Linked DNA regions of Schizosaccharomyces pombe. Changing the gene in region 2 together with the main gene of any one other region gives a genetic interaction. Each region holds a gene or a part of one and is shown on either strand. Other genes may lie near its edges.

What was found.
Region 1: of csk1 (region 2) and pho7, changing one suppresses a phenotype caused by changing the other (phenotypic suppression), as found in Schizosaccharomyces pombe (3 studies listed by BioGRID).
Region 3: mutations in csk1 (region 2) and sre2 together harm fitness more than expected from each alone (negative genetic interaction), as found in Schizosaccharomyces pombe (2 studies listed by BioGRID).
Region 4: of csk1 (region 2) and asp1, changing one suppresses a phenotype caused by changing the other (phenotypic suppression), as found in Schizosaccharomyces pombe (2 studies listed by BioGRID).

The regions. Positions count from the first base shown.
Region 1 is NC_003423.3:1,344,591-1,349,853, forward strand, and holds pho7 (transcription factor Pho1), read right to left. Parts: upstream 3,385-5,263; 5' UTR 2,876-3,384; coding exon 659-2,875; 3' UTR 522-658; downstream 1-521. Other genes in the region: protein Cbp4, read left to right, coding at 3,790-3,826, 3,914-4,032, 4,211-4,273.
Region 2 is NC_003424.3:647,789-651,245, forward strand, and holds csk1 (cyclin-dependent kinase-activating kinase Csk1), read right to left. Parts: upstream 1,778-3,457; 5' UTR 1,606-1,777; coding exon 1,102-1,605; exon of another isoform or gene 1,042-1,101; coding exon 826-1,041; exon of another isoform or gene 714-825; coding exon 513-713; downstream 1-512. Other genes in the region: erd101 (EXS domain-containing protein), read right to left, coding at 1-20; phosphatidylinositol synthase (CDP-diacylglycerol--inositol 3-phosphatidyltransferase) Pis1, read left to right, coding at 2,700-2,757, 3,405-3,457. UniProt on the Schizosaccharomyces pombe protein: Acts as a CAK-activating kinase that specifically activates crk1 of the crk1-mcs2 CAK complex.
Region 3 is NC_003423.3:550,578-557,100, forward strand, and holds sre2 (membrane-tethered transcription factor), read right to left. Parts: upstream 4,719-6,523; 5' UTR 3,548-4,718; coding exon 1,166-3,547; 3' UTR 553-1,165; downstream 1-552. Other genes in the region: SPOM_SPBC354.04 (uncharacterized protein), read left to right, coding at 1-210; mrps16 (mitochondrial ribosomal protein subunit S16), read left to right, coding at 5,316-5,392, 5,822-6,002, 6,269-6,301.
Region 4 is NC_003421.2:570,970-576,448, forward strand, and holds asp1 (inositol hexakisphosphate kinase/inositol pyrophosphate synthase), read right to left. Parts: upstream 3,604-5,479; 5' UTR 3,504-3,603; coding exon 741-3,503; 3' UTR 501-740; downstream 1-500. Other genes in the region: tyrosine--tRNA (Tyr) ligase Yrs1, read right to left, coding at 1-479; U3 snoRNP-associated protein Utp21, read left to right, coding at 4,568-4,643, 4,703-5,479.

The DNA.
Region 1 (5,263 bases), on a different chromosome or scaffold from region 2:
TGTTTATCACATTCACAACGAATGAATGCAAGTGTAATGTCAAGCCATTATACCAGGATATCCAAACTGGTATAAATTAATAAGATTAATAATGACAAAAATCTCTTTACAAACTCTAAAACGGAAAAAGAAGCAAATGAAAGTTGAATGCACAATAGGCTAAATAACAAAACGTTTATAACAATAGCAGTAAAAATAAGAAAACGACACACTTAAATGGTACAAATACTTAGAAAATCACATATAGTAACTTCTTTCGTCATCTGTACGATCACATTTATCCCAAAACGACTTTCTTTCCCAAAATATACCCAAAAATAAATATAAATAGACACAAAGAAAACGAAAGATAAAACATTCTTAATCAATGTAAGCAGAATACAAGACAAAAAGGGCATCCATAGTATATCAAAATTACTAGACCGATATTAGAAAGATAGGTCCAGATGGCAATTTGGCAAAGAGAGAGAGAAGAGTAAAAAAAAAGTAATAAATGGGAGTAAAAAATCATTTTCCTTTTTTTTTCACATTGTCTTACGTTTGATCATAAGATGATCTGTCGTCTGACAATATTCATAGTGTAGGTCAATCTACTGAGAAACACTCAAATGCAAAAACAAAATAAGAAACGAGAAAAACAAAGGTAATATGCGCAAAATTATTGTCTAAAGGGATGATTCTTGAATGAATCGGCTTGGTTTTGATGGAAGTTAGGATAGGTTCCATGATCGACTAGCTCATGAACGTTAAAGTCGGGTCTAATGTCTCGTGTAGGTATATCATGAAATAAAAGCATGGATGTGTACGCTAGCTCCTCCGCATGGGTATCAGGAAGCATATTCACATGATCACCATCATGTTGTTCAAGCCCGCCATCCTGTTGTCCATGTATTCCTCTTAATGAATGGATACATGGTCTTTCTACCACATGCTGTGACGAATCAGTAGCTATTGAAAACGAGTGTATTCTCCCACGCCAAGAAGGTTGATGATCCGGTACATCTTCTTCCTCATCATCAGCAGCTTGGGATTGATAATAATAAGGAACTTGAGACTTGACGGGATTTGGGGCAGCAGGAAACTCCGAATTATGAACGTCTGGATAAAAATGGTGCATTGTTTCCATATTCTTAACAGTACCATGTTGATTTTGTCCAGGCATAGCCGTTTGGTCTATGTGACGGTCAAAAAAGCTAGAATCGTGATGGTTCATTTTTAAATCGGGAACCTCAAAATGGCTCTGCATGGACAAATTTTCGTGGTCATTCGTTTCTAACATCCAATTGTTCACATTCTCAGCGGCAATTGAGCTTTCGTTATACGTCGGTTGATTATGCATTGCATTACCGAGTTCCGTATGAGATAATAAGCCATGGACTTGTTCAGAAGGTAAACCATGGATCTGATGAATTAGCAAAGAAGGATTAGCTACAGAGTGTTGCGCATATTCTCTTAGAAAATGCTCCTCGGTCATACCAACTGGATTAGTAAAACTTCGGTTTCGAGATTTTCGATTAAAAGGCTTTGAACCAGCTGAGGAAGTTCCAGTTTCGTCCATGTTAGATACCGCCACACCATCCATTGATGTTGAATTGAAATGATCATGATGGACAGCAAAAGGAGGAGTGACATTAGGTTGAAAGTTCTTTGAAGCAGATGAAACAAGTATCTGGGGTTGAAGATTTAGTTCTTGTTTAATAGCTGAGGAAGGATACTGGGCCATTCCGTTTTCATCCATCTGTCTGGAAGACATGGCAAACTGATTGTCACTTGAAGGATCCAACATTTTAGAACTGAGAGAATCTTGCGTGGAATGACCAGAAGATGCAGTAGTTGACTTGGTGTTGTTCGAAGTATCACTCAATTTTTTATAAGGGCCTCTTCTAACTCCCGTTGGCCGTTTCTTCCTGGGTAAATCAATGCAATCAGTTTTGGCTTTAATACAACGCTGACAAGGACGAGCGTCATCACATTTTTTGTTGTCTTTTTGACACTTTGCGCAAGCTCTCTTGGCCTGAGGAAGTCTTTTCTTAACTTTACCGGTAGTAGCTTTAGGCTTTTTTATAATTTTATTCACAGTGGAAAGAGGAGGAGTCGTGTTGTTGGAAACGTTTAAACTACGATTAGGAGATGGACTCCCGGCGGATCCAAAAGGTGGCATAGAGGTTTTAGGAGGATCGGGTGCTGAACAAACGCGCTGCAAAGGAGCACCATCCTGATGATGAGCTTGCGCATTTGAATATGCAGTGCCCTCTGGACCATATTGAGAATAGGGAGACAAGTTGTATGGATTTATGTCTGCCTTCACTCCAGCACCTTGTAACTGAAAATAAGCATCTTCAGGACGATAGGGAGAGTTGTTTAAGGGAATCGGAATATTAGATAATGCAGGAGGATTTGAGTAAAAAGTAGGAGAGTTGTTTGAATTAGGGTTAACAGATGCAACCACCCCAGGTGAAAAACTATCAGACGATGGAGAACGATGGTAGTATGGAATTTCGGTATTTTGGAAATGGACGTCTTGAGACTGTTGCATAGAAACAGATCTTGGATAGTATTCACTCATGCCACCGGAGGAAAACCCAGATGCATCCAAGCCAATGTTTCCCACAAACGGAGCATCATTTGGATTTGGGTTTTGCACTGAAAAAGCAGAGGGAGAAGAGATATGAGAGGTGGAAGATGTGGAGGGATGTACAGAGGCAGAATGAGTACCTTCTACTGGGCGGGTAAGCAATTGTTGCATATGATGATTGATGAATTGATATTCTGCATCGTAATCGGGTAATCCATAAGGGAAAGGAACGGAGGACCGCTTGTAATGTGGATCAAGCTCCTCATTCTTAGAAGCAGACTGAACGACTTTCTTCTGCATACAAACGAAAAAGACAAAAGAAATATGATAAAAGTAAAGCCTTAAACAAATGCTCCTTCGTCTTAAGAAAATTTAGGTTACAAAAAGGCAATACAAAAGAATTGGAGACAATGAAAAGTACCAAAATCCCTAAATCAATGGCTCCTTCACTTTCGTCGCTTTTTGTGAATCAGTATGGAGATATGGGCTATATATGGAAGAAGAATAAATGCGTTTGGAATACTAAGATCGTTGTGTAAGAATAAGAAAGAAAACAATCACGCGTAAAAATATCCTTTATGATCAACAACTTGGTACTTTTCTTTTGAAAAAAACCGCAGTTGAGCAACACTTTTTCAAATCAAAGGTGCTGATATGACACGAACGCGGGGGGTAACAATGATAAATTTTTAGCTCAATCTCGTCAAAGCAGTATAACTGTTTACAGATTTAATATCACTTGTAAACACTTGAACGATGAATTCCTGACAAAGATGAGAGATTTTCTTTTATCGTGTTAGGGCGAAGTCGACAGATCTGATTAGCGGTGGCAGCAGTAATAAATTAGCATGTACAGGGTGGTGGGGCATAGCGCAGTAATCGCCTTTAACACTTTACCTTAAAAAACCTTATATTTAAGCTACCACCGCATTGCGGGGAGATACCTTTTTCGACAATCTTAGCGAAACAGCGCTCTGTTCTGTTAAAATAATAAAGATCAATAACGGAATACAGCGTATTTCACAAGGCCTTGCAAACCGGCCAACCATCCATGGAACGTCTATATAGCACGTATAGGGTGCCTTACATAACATCTGTGTCTGCAATAGCATTGCTGTCAAGAGCCTATACTTACTGTTATTTTTTCTCTGTATTACAACCTTTATTATTGTTTGCTTTTTGCAGACTCCATTTTGAATTGTTGTACCTAAAGCATGAATCGTGTGGTTAAAAGTATCGTATACGGTGTTGGTATGGACATTTTGAGATAGGATCGATTTAGTTGAAAAGATTCTATCCCGAACTTAAGATTGTGTTACTTACCAGTATATAAAATAGGAATCGTTGGATTTGGCTATATGACAATGAAATTAACAACTCCATCTCCCGAACGAGTTGTCAATTCACTTCCACCGGATCTTCGAGCTTCTTATGAAATGAACAAAAAAGATCGATCAGTAAGTATACATAGCGAATCTTTTTTAAAACTGTTTGCTCCAGGTTCTGAAGTGGGTTTGGGGGTGCCACAAAAGAGAGAATATTAAGTCTTCCTTAATATTTCCCTTTACCTTCTTCAAACGTGGTGTTTGCTTTCAATGGTTTTTGTTCGTATTCTATGAAACTGACTTTGAGTAGCAAGCCGAAGGTGTTTTACGAATGATTGAAGACGCAAAACGAAATCCTAAAAACCTTGTTTAAGCGAGTATTCTTACTCAATTCATTTTAATTTTATCATCTCAATGTTTCGATCTTCCTCTCTCAAATATATATCTAAAAGTTACTTTCCTAGGACTTACAAAAAAACGAGCGTTTCCCATTGATGGGTCATTTTCAATTTTCTTGTTTCTTCATCGTGCTACTATTGATGATTTCTGATTTTTTTTTTTTTTTCACTTAATCTATCGCGTATTCGTATAAAACCTTACAAAACAAAAAAACGTAACTTGTGCTTATTTGAAAATTAATGATTCATTTGATTATGGATATGAACGATAATGAATGACTATTATCAGACCGTTGTATTTTCAACAGTGTATATATTACTTTTGCCTGATTTGACTCATATCAAGCCCACTATCAATAAAAATGGAAGACTTGTAAGCATCCAGCAACTTCAGCTCTTTTGAAAGCGAAATAAGTCTTTAGTTTCCTCACTTTAAATTTTGGTACTTCTTTCTCAAAATACACGAGAATACATCCAATAGGTAAACACCCCATTTCCACGTATTTGTAACAAAAAACACATTTTCATTTTGAAATCGTCAACGAAACTTTTAATGAAATACCTCGCCCATTCTGGTATTTTGAGAGGCTTATTTCCCAAAAGTATTGATTGTTTACTTGCTAATATACTCATATGAAACGTTTGAAAAAATGATTTGACGAAAACGATAAGTAATATAGATATATTCTTAAATCTACAAAGAGAATGATGATTGAATACTCAGCTGGTGTCTTTCATGAGGAAGCGTGTTGTACAGTTTGTTGTCTTGAAGACAGCTGTTTGCTTCACCATTATGAAATACTAACGCACGATTCTTCAATGGAAAAAAATGCTTGAAAAACTCTTTATGTATTTGATAATGTAAAAGCCCTTGCTAAATTCTTTATGTTAATGGAGGCGACAAAACCATTGGCGTATGTACCATGTATTTCGGTAGTAGCATTTTTTGCTACTGCTTAACATCA
Region 2 (3,457 bases):
TCCACGACTTCCAAATCCATCTTTAAGCCGTCACTAGGCTAGATGCATAATTTAAAGTATTTGAAGAATGTTTTATTATCTTCCAATACAATTTTTAGCGGCATTAAATGCTCAGGTAGATGTGAGAAGGGAGGAAGAGTTCGGTACCAAATTGCGTAGTCGTGCACGGTTAGCATGCGCATCAAGCTACCAAAATAAGTATCTAAGTTGTGGGAAACAAAACAGATGTAGGCCTATTCGGTTGTTTAATACAAGTGATCAACCTAATGTGAGATTGAAGAAATGCTGTGCGTAGAATTACAGATTATCGTTGCGATTTATTGCACTAGATATTCAACGTTGGATATTACTATAAAACTCAGTATTATCAAAAGGAGTTTTTAATAAAAAGACAAAAGAATATTAACTGAAGCTAAGATAATTAATTCCTACGGTAGTATTGCCTACCTGTTTATTTCTACTGTCCTTTAAAATAAATTATGTATTTCCTACACCAATCCTGAGAGTAAATTTTATGCATATTGTGAAAGCCTAGCAGATACTTTAGGGAATGACTCAATCACGAAGGATGGTGAAGCCCGATTTGAGTATGTGACAAGATGCGAAACTATATACTGAATTGAAGTATCAACAGATGGTAAAATTTCTGACCAAGGTTTGGGTGGATATTCATGAAATATAAATTTATTCCAATCTGGGAAAGTCGAAAGTTCCTTAAAAACAGTTAGCAAAATCTGCATGAAACCCTATTATTTAAAAAAAAAGTCTAAAATGTTTTGTTTTTGTTCAAAGGCTCAGATATAATGTTAAAGATTTGAAACTTACAGGCCACATGCTTGGATTTGGAGTACCCAAAGTTTGAATAATACTGCTTGTTAACCTTAATTCACTAGGCCATCCTTCAGAAGATCCATCGTCAAACAAAGCTTGATTGGAAAATAGTTCAGCGATCAGAATGCCAAATGTCCAACGATCGACTTCATGACCATAAGAATGACAGCCGAACAAGGTTTCAATTGCTCTATAATGACCAGTTCCAATCTAAAAAAAACGTTAGAAATCTTGCAGGTTCGGCAAAATATAAAACTCTCTTTAACATACTTGGGGAATGAGTTCCTGCACTTCTTCTCCTGGATGCTGTTTGGACCAAGCAATACTGAAATCAGATAGATAAGCGGGGCCATTCATTGAATCCAATAGTATATTATTTGGATGAATATCACGATGCAGAATCCCATGCTTTTCTAGGTATTCAAGGGCGCTACTTATTTGCAATACGATCTTGCATTTTGTATCAATTGAAATTTCATCCATCACATCTGATAGAACAAACGATTTAAAACTCGTTATAAGGTAAACGGATCCTGCTTCATTGTCTATGAAAGAGTCCACTATCCTTTCAATGTGTGGATGGCCTATTGACTCTAAAATAAGCTTGCCTCTCATGGCATCGTGAGGTGGCCTTTTAAATACTAAACCTTGAACTTTAATAACATATAGTTTTTTGCTATTCTTTCTTTCACCCACGAACACTTCACTAATAGTGCCATCCGTCAGGTGCCTTATATCAGTGAGCCACGGAACGAAATGACCGACTGATTTCATTAAATTTATAAATTCAATCGTTCCTGATTGATTTCACTTGAAATTTTAAGCCTATCTAACAAAATAAAAAACAGCTAAAACGTTGTAATATAAAACTTTGAAAATTACTTATCGCAAGGTGTTTTACGCAATATGTTTTTCTTTTTATGCAATGTGTTTGGAGGTGAGGCTTACTCTTTTTACAAACTTTAATGAGAGCAGACATATAGATATGTACTGGCGGTGAAGGATGGCCACCAGATGAAAGCCTAACTGTGATCTCGCATGATGATGCTAAAAAGATATTGGATAATGCTTTTAAAAAAATATAAATAGATACCATTCTTATATGTACTTTATACATTTGTAGTACACTTATAAAGTCAGAGTATGAATTTTTGTAGTAAGGAAGAATACTAAGAATTCTTTTTTTATTTTTATTTTTTTTTCGCTTTGTTTGCTTGAATGAAAAAAATATCTTTGTGATAATAAGTGTTTTAATTGTTTTAGAGATCATATATGTGTCAAATGCGTCTACATTACCTTACTCGAATTGTCAAAAATGGTGAGATGTATAGGTTTAATCTTTTACTACTTTATCTGTTTCCAAAAATCGCTGCTGTTATAGGAAATTAGAAAAAATATTAATTTATTAAAGAAATATTAATAATGATTGTCTATGAAATGTTTTACGCAATGATGTTTCGAGATTATTACTGACAGTGTCAAAAAAAAAAAAAAAAAAAAATAGTTAAATCAAGAACTGTTTCTCAGTAACAGCTTAAAAAAATAGATAAATAATTTTATTAAATATTTTAATTCATAATTCTACAAACATGAAAGAAATTACTCGTGCAAAACCATTAATAATTGAACTGAGTCAAGGTAACCTTAAATAAGCTAGGTTATGATTGTCGCGCAAGTGTTTTGTTCCAAAGAAGGTAATAAGCTTAGCGAAACGAAAACAATCCTACGTTGGCCTTTTATAATATTAATTACGGTGATTTCGTACGGGCGGTAATATTTTTTTTGCGTATTCCAACGGAAAGCGATATTGCGGTAAGCTTTATGGCAGACCACTAACGCTGTATCTTCCTTTTGCAACATTAGTTACAATGGGAAAGAACGAGCAGAAAGACCCAAACGTGTACTTTTTTGTACCAAATTTGATTGGTGAGTATTATTCGGAAGTCTTGTTACAGCAACAAAGCTATGTTGAGCAAAAAGGTCTACATTTCCTTCTTTAATTATGTCTTACCCGGAAGGTTGGTCAAAGCCTTTTCGAAATGATACTTTTTTTTGATATTTTTTTCCTATCAGCTTTTTAAAGAAAAAAAAGGCTGTATGCTTTCTACATTTGTTTTGCCATTCGATGTAAGCAATTGAGCCTACATAGAATTCATGTTGCTCAAAGCACCAACTGAACCATATTTTAAGAAATATGCGAGTTAAATTTTTAAAGCTGTCAAATGATTTTCCTTTTTGCTCTGGGCAAGCTATGAGCGGAGTATTGGATACTTTGTATGCTTTTTCGGAAGTTAATTAAAATAATGAATGAGACTTTAGATGTGCGTAAAATTATTTGTTGTGCTTAATAATTTTAAGGTGTTCTTAGACTTAACAGATTTACTTACCCTTTTGAAAATAATCTATTGCGTCAAGTCAAGTTATCTCTATTATAAAAGCATCATTTTCGTCACTTTTCAAAATTACTAAAACTTTGTGAATCATTATCTTTTATGGCCTCTTTTCTCAATATGCTGAAATTAGCGCTGGACTTTCATTCTTATAATTGTTCAGTATTCTGACTCTTTGTTTAGGTTTTACTAGGGTTTTTTTGGTACTTATTTCGTTGTACTTTATGTCATGGCAC
Region 3 (6,523 bases), on a different chromosome or scaffold from region 2:
GTTTATTTGGTGATATTAACGCCTCTTCCACACCCTATGTTAATTCCATATTTGTTTGCACCCAAGGTCGTAGGCAAGAATCTACTACCCCGTGCTGACGGATTGGTAGAGAATACCTTGAAAAGATGGACATTCATTAATGATAAGCTCAAAAGGTCTGACACAGTCGTTCGCGAGTTCCAGGAAATTGAAGAGGAAGCGACTAAGTAAGGATAAAAGCCGTATGGTTTTCATTATGTTTCTCTTGCCTACTATCTTTTTCATTTTAACAAAGATTATATTTTTTAATCTTAAAAAATTTTTAAGAAGGTCCATGTTGGTCGTTATATTTTGGCATTTTTTTGAAACAGTATAGGAGTTGGGATTTGATACAATATAGGGGAAATTATAAGGTTGACGATGACACTAAAATTTTTTTCATTTAGATTGGCTATTCAATTTCAATTTGAAAACATAATTTTTATATTTCCAAACTGCTTCAATCTTACAGCAAGAAAAATTCGAGAATAAAAATGGAAGATAAATGGATATAATTATATAATTTTACTAATAAAGCCTCATTAGAGGGAGCTGGATAAAAAGAAAATCCGTTAGAAATGATTATTAATAGTTAATTTACCGTCGTCTGCTAGAGCGACAATTAACACTAAGGCAAAAAAAGATAGAAGTAAACAACAAACACGAATCATCAAAAAGCAAAGGTAAACGAATTCGTTCACATCTGTTGAAGTAATACATAACTTCTTAATACATTGACAAATCATTGCGATCAAGTATTTATTTCCAACAACGAGCAGTGAAAAACTATTCATTCCATACCCCCAATCAGACAAAACACTGGCACAGTTACATAAAAGAAATATTAAAATAGGAATCATATTTCTTAAAAAAGTGTAATAAAGCCTTCCAAAGTAAAATCACCGTATTAGGAAATCGGAAGTCATGAGCACGGCCATTAGGTCAATGTCATATAAAACTTACACAGGTACAAGATGAACAAAACAAAAACAAGATCCTTGAAAACCAACCAAAACTATAAGGGAAGCAGTATAATGTCACGCTTTTATTAGTTAAGTAGTCAAGGAAACATCCACAAAAGAACACGAACAGTAATCTCAGAGAATTCCAGCTTAGTGGAGAATACTATAAAGAAGAGTGATTGGAATTATGTTGCAACACCAGATTCTAAATTTAATTCGGATAGCAATTTTCCACGCAAATTTAAATAGTTTCCCCAATCGTAAATTGGTACAGAAAATATCAAAAAAGATATAAAAACACACTCCAATCGAAAGGAGAGGTATATGGAAGATGCCCATTTTCGCAAGGTAGCTTCTGGTGTTAAAAGTATATGCATGGCAAAACAAAGAAAAGCTAAAAGCAACAATAAAAATCGCAAGATACTATGGAGAGAAGGAGATATTGGGAGTACTGACATTGAAAAGCGATTGGAAGAACCAGCATCATCCGGATTAGTTAACATATGAACAGTTTCTAATCCCACTAGACCGTTCAGAACAGCCCTCCCAACGTTTTTATAACTCAATCCTTGCTGATCAGCCTGAGCCCTTGGCGACACCAACTGAGGTTGATTGTAATCAGAGGGAACTGTCGACGAAGGAAGTGATCCACCGTATTCTTGTGGATGCATCATTGATGTATGCGAAACCGCATTGCAGGACTTTGAATATTTCAAAGGGTATCTAGAGGAATACGCATTGTGCATCTCATTAAAATTTGCATGAGGAATCGTTTGCATCGAATCAATAGGAGATCTATTAACCTGCATTGGAGGTCGGGGATACGAGCTATTTTGAGGAACCGAATGGCAATTATGGGGAGCATCTGGAAAATAAGCTTGTTGAGAAGGAGTACCGATGCTACTCCTTTTCAATATAGGCGGAACATTGCGATGTCCTGGAGTGTTACCAGGAGGACCTAGCAAAGACAATGAAGCCGGTTGGGAGGGTGCGGTCAAAGAAGCTTGAATGACCGAGGTGTATTCTGATAAGCGTTTTTGCAAAATCTTGTTTTCTTCGATTAACTTTTTATTTTTTGATTGTAAACTTTTTATATACTCGGTAGCTTTTGACAAAATGGTAGCTTTGTTCAGCTTTCGCGATAAGGGAACGTAAGTACCCTTAAGCTCATCTGCTGTAGTAGAATTGTATCCAGAGCGCAGAGTCGGTACTGCATCCCTTAGCTCAGCAATTTTGTCATTAAGATTACTTCGGTAACGTTTTTCGATCATATTGTGAGCGGACCTTTTGCTCAAAGGAGAAAGGTTTTGTTCTTGGGTAGATAAACCAACCGGCTCCACCCCATTGCTTTGGATAGCGAAAGTTGCCGATGAAGAAATGGGGCTATTCGAATCGTTTACAGAACCTCGAACAGAGGTCGAAGAGCTTGAAGGAGAATCTGAAGGGCCTCCACCATTAGTCTTTGAAGATATATATGAACAGTCTTGCGCAATATCCCCATAGCTACGCTTTGAAGAGATTGAAGCACAAGGAGAAGATACCGTTCTCTTAAGCTTGTTAGGTGTCTCAAATTCGTTACCATTTTCAGGTGCGTTTTGGGGATAGACCGTACTATATTGAGAGAAATTAAATGCGACAGCATCATCGGAACTCATGATTCCTTTCACAGGCGATGGCATACCTTCGTTTGTAAATTGCATGGAGGAATCTGAAACAGAGTTTTGAAAATTAGATGTATCATAATTTGAATTTTGCTTCGGGCTCTGCAATAGCGTTAAAGCCGGTTTTTCAGTGTACTGGGGGAAATTTGGGTTCAAGGAATGTGGAGATATCGATGGATTTTCAGCACCAGTAAAAGTATTAAACTGACCGCTTTCCTCACGAAGAGCGTAAGTTGCGTCAGCTTCCTCGATCTTAACAACAGAATTTACCGAAGATTGTTGGTAAGAGTCCGTTTGAGTAGTCTCCAAACCGACAAACTTTGTGTTGGGAACTGGACCTTGATTGCTCTGTAAGGATTCATTTGCATGCTTCCAAGTGTTCCCTTGATGATTTATAGGTAAATGGGGGTGATGTGTGATTGATAAATCCGTTGAATCATGTAAAGAGTTTTTGACTTCAAAAGGATCAATGGATGGATCCCAGCTACTTGAGTACTGTCGGGAGTGATCCTGCGCTTGTGTAAACCAATGATTTGATTCTAGTGGGCCTAATTCCGTATTGATGGAGGAGTCAATAGAGTTACGTGCCAACATAGGTTTGTCAGCAACGTCTTGGTTAAGATTGAAGGCAGTAGAAGCGTCCATTGAATTGGAATTGACTTGATATGGATACGCAGACGCCATAGAGTAAGATCGTGGTATACCACGAGTTCCTACAGAGGGCACGTGGCTTATAGGGTATGAAGAAGATGCTGAAGACGAAACTATGGATGGGTGCTTGAAATCCATGATATTTGAGCCATCCACATAACTGGATGGATCAGCGTTTTCAGTGGGATTGGAAATCGCAGTGTTTTCGAGTTGACGATGAATATCCTTGAGCGACGAGTGTTGGGAAGGACACATAGCGAAGCGAATACCAAACAGTCGTTTTGGATATGAGTCAAGGAGAACGAAAGGTATTTATAGGTATTTAAAGAATGAAAAGTTTCCAAGACAAAAAGAGAAAGATTAAAAAAAGAAAAAAGAAAAAACACTCAGTAGTAATGGAGAGAATTCGAATTTCCGAACTTCTTGTTGATGAAACGCTAACCGCAAAAAAAAATTTAACAATACACCGTTTAATAAACGAGAAATTAGAAGAAAAGCGGGATTATTTCAAAAAAGGAGAGGAAGCGAAAACTAAAGGAAAGATAGAATGGGTGGAAATTGTAGTAGGAAAGCAAATAAAATTGGAACCCAAGAAAACGCCTATAGTAGTTGTCTTTGAGCGAAGGAAAGTATAAAACAACAAAAAATTAGGTTTTTCCTCTTTCAAGTTGAATTATTATGAAACCGGGTTGAACAGGAATCTTCAAGGTAAGCGACCCCAAGAACGCACTCGTTCACGAACTAACCAAGTAAACGAGACAAGATGAACAAGCTTGACAGGATAAACAATGAAAGAAGAAAAACTTATAAAAACTAAATATATAAAGGGGAATATAGTAAAAATTGGCCCCCAAGCTGCGTTATAAGGAATTGACAGCAATTATATGATGACGGAGAAGAAAGGAGTAGAAACTGACGCAAGGCAGGATGTAAACGTCAAATCTTCAGGTGTTCCGATATGTAATGAGTCTTAAAACTGCTACTAGCCTAAAACCTAGCACCGTTCATCCACAAAGCGATGTCCAAAGAAACGTTTCAATCCGATGTTCCTATTTTGCTTGAATCCGTCGACACAACACACTGACTTGACAGTAACCGGGAGTACGATGGCAAAAATCAATGTCAGTGGATCCAGCAATTCGTAACAACACCAAAAGAATGGGCAATTCAGAACAAGATCAAAATGCTAACTAAAAGAAGCCTAGGTGTTGGGAAATCTCAAAATACCAATTAACCGAACTCCCCAAACAACGATTCGTACGAAAGCAACAAAAACCCTCTAAGATTCAATCAATAGCTTTCTTGATCACTAGAAATTTTCAAGAACGGATGGAGTTAAATATTCAACAGGGATGCGCAATCTACGCGAGTCTTAAGTTATGTTTTGCTGTCGCTAAGTAGAATTTATGGGAGGGAGGAAAAAGCTAAAAGTAGACGAAGCCGCTTAAGCTAAGGAATGTCTATAGCGATTAACATTACGTTATAAGGATTGCGTGGTGAAAAGAAGGTTGGCAAACTACGCATTACATGAGTAACGTTCGTTTATGGTATCTCGTATACGCATTCTACAATCGCTTACAGTATTCCTGTTTAGCAAACTCGATACAAGCAAAGCATACCTTGAACAACGTGGAGAATGCTCGCTTTGTAGTATTCGTGTTACCGTAATTCGTGCTGTATCTCACTCCGGGGGTAGTGAATATGATCAATTCACACTGCTTATAAAGAGAAATAGAGTCAGCAGGAAGTAGAAAGATAAATGGAAGGAAAAGAACGTAATTTCTATCCCAGAAAACGTTTGAAATGATCTTTTGAAATTATGTTTTGTTTGTAAGTATGAACGAAAAGCAAGGCACAACGCTATTTTATAAACAACGGAGTGCACAATACGATACGTCCATCTGCTTTCCATCCTTGATACCTGCATTGTCTTCGTGTTTACTCAAGTTGCTCTTAACCATACTCCTACCACCAAGTGGGAAAGACGGGATTTGTAGGACTCGTTGAAAACCGGCTCTTCTCAATGGTAGTAAAAATTCGTTTGGCGCGTCATGGCGTCAGAAATAGACCTTTTTACCATATCGTAGTTGCGAATGCATGGTAAGTAGGATGAAAACATACCTAGACGGTTGTTTCGTGTTTTACAACACTTGTAGCGGTTCACGTAAAGGGGAAAGTTTTTGTACAGGATTTAGTAAGGGAGATGGCTTGATGTGGGTTATGAAAGAATGGAAGATAAAATGCTAAAAGACTGCTTTTTTTTGACGGTTCCTTTGGCTCTAAATTGCGATCTTTTTTAGAAGCTTTAGTTTTCAGGTATTCCTGGATGCTCTCATCTATTTAATCTAGTCTTTCTACATAGTATTCAAAATGCCAAGGACACCAACCACAATTTTTCTTATTAATTGACTATTTATTGTGGTTTGGCCCCCTTGGCCTCTATTAACTGTTTACATATCACCTGTACATCCTTTTTTTTCTCCTTCATCCATTCCTGTCTTTTGGTTCGACTTTGTTAACTCAATATAGGAAAGCACCTCAAGCCAAACCTATCGAAACCATCGGCACTTTTGATCCCATCCCTAAGAAGATTGATTCTCAGGACTCCATTCCTCGTATAAAAGATATCCAGCTCAACGTTGAACGTTTTAAATATTGGATAAGTGTAGGAGCACAACCATCCGACACCGTCCGCTCTTTAGCTGAAAAGGTATGCCCAAGCTCTCTTTATCTATTTTTATGACTAGTCCAAATTCGTTAAACTTTCTTTCAACTCTCTTTTTTGACTAAAATTTTCGACCCGCTTGCGATATACCGCTCGGGTGATTTTTCTCATGTTCCCTAACTGCCCGGCTTTCCGAAATGGAGTGTAGGATCTCATCCCTGTTTTCGTTACGATTTGGCTACTAATTTACTTGTTTTACTTCTTTCTATCAATCTATCAATTCTTACTAACGTTACTTTTTTCACTTTTAGTTCCAGTTGCTTCCTAAAAAACCCGTTTCTTGAAACTCACTATAATCGTTATTGCTCAAGTCATGACATTTCTTTTTTACGACCACTTCACAATGTCTAGATATCTTTAACACATTTTTTATTTTTTTTTACACTTTATCTCTGTGATCACGCTAATTACCTCTCTCAACTAAATTTCATAATTTTTGACCGATTTTACCCTTCCGTACTGTTTTTTTAAAACCACGTTTTTTGGCTGAGTGCGATATTTGTTTT
Region 4 (5,479 bases), on a different chromosome or scaffold from region 2:
GACAATAGAGGACTAGCGACCTGCTTGACAACTTCTGCACCGGCACGACGAGCAGTGTGCTCTGTCGTAGATGCAGCAAGTCGAAAGTTATCAAGGGTATAATCCTCCTTCAGCTGATAGCTGGAGCCAATGACAAAACGAAGCTTCTCAATGGGAATATTCAACGATTTTAGAATAGATTTGACAATAATTTCATAATAACGAACACGGTGTTGAACGAGTTCCATCGGCGCCTTCATGTTATCCAAAAAAGCATGGACATCGGCTAAAAGAACAGTAACATGTACACCGGCCTTTAAAAAATCAGCCAACTTCATCATTGGCACAAAATAACCACAATGAGGACGGCCAGTAGGTGCACTGCCCCAGTACAAGCTGATATCGCGTTCATTCAAAATTTCGCGAATCATTTTGGCGCCAAGCACCTCTTGAAGATTACGAGTAATCAACTCATATTTTTCATCCGGAGTAAGCGACATCTTGCTTGATATCCAACGTTAAATGGAACTCACAAAAATTGGTGATGTTGGTTAACGATGTTTTCGATTGCAATCATGGACTGCGATCAACGTTCGGAATTGCCGCGGCACCGTGACTGCAACCCGAACAACAAATTATTCAGACAAAATTATTAACCAAGGTTTAATAAATAATTTGGTTTAATTATGTGCAATTACTAATAAAATATCGTTTAAAAAATGTTTATGTTATCAAAACATTCGTAAAAAGGGTAAAAGCGGTTAATTAATGTTAACAGGAATAAACCTTTTGGGAAGATGAACTGAGTTGCAGAGGTCCTCGGTTTTCGTTATAAACTGCTGAAGGTCTAAATGTCTTGTAAGCGACCTGCGAGGTGAAACGCTAATACAGTGTTTAGCATCAAGATTCATATCCAATGGACATTGGGCATAACAACCTGGTGAGAGTGTGATACGAACAGAAAATTCCTTATTTCCTGAAGGATTAGTCCTCTCGAATAACTCAAAGCATATTTGAGTGAGATAATCTAATTCGGGAATTTGATTTCTAGGTAATTTCATAGGTAGTCCTGATTCAAGTATACAATTAAGCAAGGTATAGATATGAGACTCTTTAGTAAAGTACATTCTTGTTGAAGCATGATCAGAATCTCGTGCCTCTTTAATGTCATGTATGATTTGACGAAGCAACGGTACACTTGTTAATAAACCAATTTCTAACTTTTCTTTCGGTTCTATACCATATTCTTGAGGAGAAACAAAATCAAATAATACTTTTGCTAAATCGTATAGCTCATACAACTTTTCCAACGGCCTTTCAGTGTGATTAGTATTTGCACCGGTCATCCCAACAAGATTGCCATTGCTATCGGTTCTTTGGGGAGGCTCTTTGGCAATCAAGCTTGGACTCTGAGGCAATTTGAGATACTGATAGGGAGTAAATATGCGTTCCAAAAATTGCCGATTGTGAAGAGCATCATACTTCAATGTATCGTATAGTTCAGAAACCTTGGATGGGTCTGCTTTCTCAGAGTCACAAAATTCGCTAAACAACTTCTCCCACCTTTCCCTAAAGAGCGCAGGATTTTCATTACAACACCAACGCGATTGAACTTGCTCAACCTCAGGTCCCAAAATAATAAAATTCTCTCTCATTACTGCGCGATGATATTTCATGAGTTGAACAACTTGTTGCATTACTTCACAAGGCTTGGGCATGTTTTCTGGCCAAGTAAACTCCTTTCTAGCCGTATCTCCAACTCTTAATAATGATTTCAAGTGTTTCTTAACCTTATCCATAGTATCCTTGGCAGCATTAGAATCATCTAACAGATCTTTGCGAACTTTGAGTAAGTCGCTAGGAATAGTTTCTTGCTCCAAAAAGGCCATTGCAAAAATTTCAGCAGAAGCAGAGACACGTCTTTCAGAAGATGTGTATATTTCGACATCTTTCAGGCAATCACGATTCATAATATACAGGTCCTTATGAAACTGCTCTCCTAAATCCTTAGATTGGTATCTCGCGGAATGAGTAAATTCACCACCCCATTTGATAATTAGCTGCAGTTTCAAAAGCTTTCCCTCTGGGGAATAAGCCGGTTTAAGTTGCACTTTTGTCCCCGGTAAGTCTTTCTTCGTTTCCAAAGCTAAGCGTAACTGTTTTAACTTGTTGATATCTTCGCATTTGAGTTCTGTAGCAAGGTTGGTAGCTGCCAAAACAGAATTGAGTTGTTCGTTTCTTAAAATAACTTCCTCGGTATGACCTTGCAATAATTTTACAAATGGATCAGATGTAAATGAAAACTTAAACTTTTGTTTAGGTGTACGATCCGCGTGACGCAGGACTCCGACCAAACTTTTAAGTCTCCATGCCTCACTTTCTCTAGGCGGAGGATTTAAAACTTCTTGGACTGAAGGTACACGATTCCGTCTATGACGTTCGGCAACATGAAACATTTGTTTCAAAATTCGAGCAGCATTATCATAATAATCGTTGTTATCCTTGACGAAGGACCATCCATTCACATCAATCACATACGACTGACCTGAGACACGAAGAAGATCAAATCCACAAACAGGTTGCTCAAACGCAATTGATATCTTAGAGGCCATATTTTTTTCTTCCTCTGAAAGATTGGTGATAAACCTAATTTCCTTACCATGTGGATTCCTTCTCACAATTCCGTCCACTACGGGTGATTTGCGGGTTTCTGCATGGCTGTAATGAGGACCCACGGTATAAACCTTTACGTCTTCCGCGTTATCGACATTCATGAATTCCTCGTAAATAAAAGATCCTTCAGTGCGTGGAGCACAAAGATCTGGATCATAATCTGAAGACTTATTTGCGACTTTACGAAATAATTTGCGACCTCCCCCACCAACGGATTTAGGGAAATAAATATAAATATTGTGATCTTCACCATAGACTGGTTTTTCAACGTACGGCTTCTTTATTATCTTGCCATCAACAGAAAGAGTATCTTCGTCCAACATTTTTACTTCTGGGGTAGGAACCTCTGTGATTTCTATTCCAAACTTTCGACGCAACTTTTCTTCTAGGACTTTATTAATTTTAGGACCTCCATCACGAGAGCAAATCAAACGCTGAGGGGTGGAAACACGTATGGCATCAAGGATGTTCAACACAAGCCGTCTATCCCAAAGCAACTCTTGGAATACTACATCGTTTACACAAAAAGGTTTACGCAACTCGACATACTTTTCAGCTTTCTTCAATGGAAATCCACTAGAGTAGAAACATATCAAATAATCACAAGCAGGCCAATTTTCCACAGCTTCGTCCAAAATCATGTTGTCACCGAATACTATGGCTTCAAACTCACCTTCTGCGATGATTCTGTTCAGAATATTCCGACATGGTTTTGAGCGAGCTTTGGCATCCATGGCACAGATTCCAACTACATTTCGTTTAGTAGGTGTAACGATTGAGGAAACAGGCGACGCCGTTCTGGTAGATGACTCTGTGTCGATAGATGTAAGATGACTTGCATTTTGAATCATCCTTTATTATTCAACTACGTTAAAATATTTAATAACGCTTAAAACACCTTTTTCCCACTTGTATTCTTTCAATGGCCAATTCCCTCACTTGTTTGGTTATGAGAGATGTAGGTACACGGTGTTAGTACACACCTAGTCGATCAATGTTACTTGTACGGTTAACCTTACAATTCAGCGAGGTAACATTTGTTTACCTAACGAAATGTAAATAAATAAGAAATTGTTGCTTAAATGAAGTGGACAGTGAATATTGAATTTGTTTCGCAGTAATGCTTCTATGAATAACTTTTTTACTAATTATACTGGGTTAGTTAATTTGGGTTTTCATAAAAATTTTTTTAACCAAGCCCAGTTTCTGTTATTCTTCTTTCAAAAACGTATTCTTCCAGTTTAGTAAAAGCTTGTAAAATCCATCAATATTAAATTAAAAAAGAATTAGAAAAAATTTTTGTTTAATAGGTTTTTACTTTTCGTCCGTGCGAAAACACGTGGACTGGAATGTTTAAATTTTACAAGCAACAAACATTAAAAAATTACTTCTACTAGCTGGGTTCAAGAGTATATTGTTCTCGCACCTTTTACATAAAGAAAAATATTTTTTAAGAATTTACTGAAATTTATTTCATTATTTACAAGCCCAGAATTCCAACAATCATAGATTTACCTTACCACTTTTTGATATATGTGAATAGAGTTCTTTAGGTATTCTGAAGAGAATGTAGAAGTTTTGCTAACATGTTTTTACGATTAAATCTTACAATAACATTAGACATCAATGTTTAGTTCTCTTTTTTTTTTAATAATAAATAATTTGTTTACTTAAATAAACGGAACAATAGCAGAACGATTCTTATTTATAATTACCGAAAATTGATATATGACGGATTGACCATATCGTTAAACACATTTATCGATTTCAGTAAATACACTGTCGTAAATTAACGATTATTACTGTAGGTCGTAAAGGGTTGCTAGAATTTCACAAACACTGCTTTTTGCAAGTTACAGGACAAGAGCCATCCTTTGCCATTTTACGTGCTATTTGTGTTCTTTCCTGTGATAAAATGCCATTTGCAGAGAAGAAACGGAGGACTTATGAAAATGCGGTGAAGCCTCTAAGAAAATCTAGGATCTATGCTCGTAAGTCAAAATTCTCTCTTTTTCTTTTGGAATGAACAGATTGCTAACTGTATTTTTAGCCTTTAGATCCATCGGTCACGTTTCCAATGCAGTACCTTTCGACATTGAGGCTCGTGGAACCCATTTTTTGGTAACAACGTCGGTGGGAAACACATTTCAAACATATGACTGCGAAAAGTTGAATTTGCTTTTCGTTGGCAAGCAATTAGACAAGGAAATTACTTGTTTAAAATCCTTTAAAGATTTCATGCTTGTAGCTGCCGGATCAAAAATTTTTGCATATAAACGTGGTAAAATAATATGGGACATTGATGTGGAGCAAGAACATGGAACAGTCACTCATTTAGATGCTTTTGGTGAGTGGATTATTGCTTGTACATCTTCTCGTCATGTTTATGTATGGAAACACGCTTCTAAATATAGTGTTCCTGAGCTTCATACTACATTTCTTCCTAATACCAATGCAGATATCACTAGTTTACTACATCCAAGCACTTATTTGAACAAAATACTGCTAGGATTCTCAGATGGAGCATTACAGATTTGGAATTTGCGTGTTTCTAAACGTGTACATGAATTTCAGGAATTTTTTGGTGATGGAATCACTAGTTTAACACAAGCCCCTGTCCTCGATGTTTTAGCTGTTGGTACTATTAGTGGTCGTATTGTAATCTTTAATCTTAAAAATGGTTCAATACTCATGGAATTCAAACAAGATGGCCAAGTTCTTTCATGTTCATTCCGTACTGATGGGACACCAATATTAGCTTCTTCCAACCCCATTGGTGACCTTTCTTTTTGGGATCTTTCAAAGCGAAGAATTCAAAATGTTACAT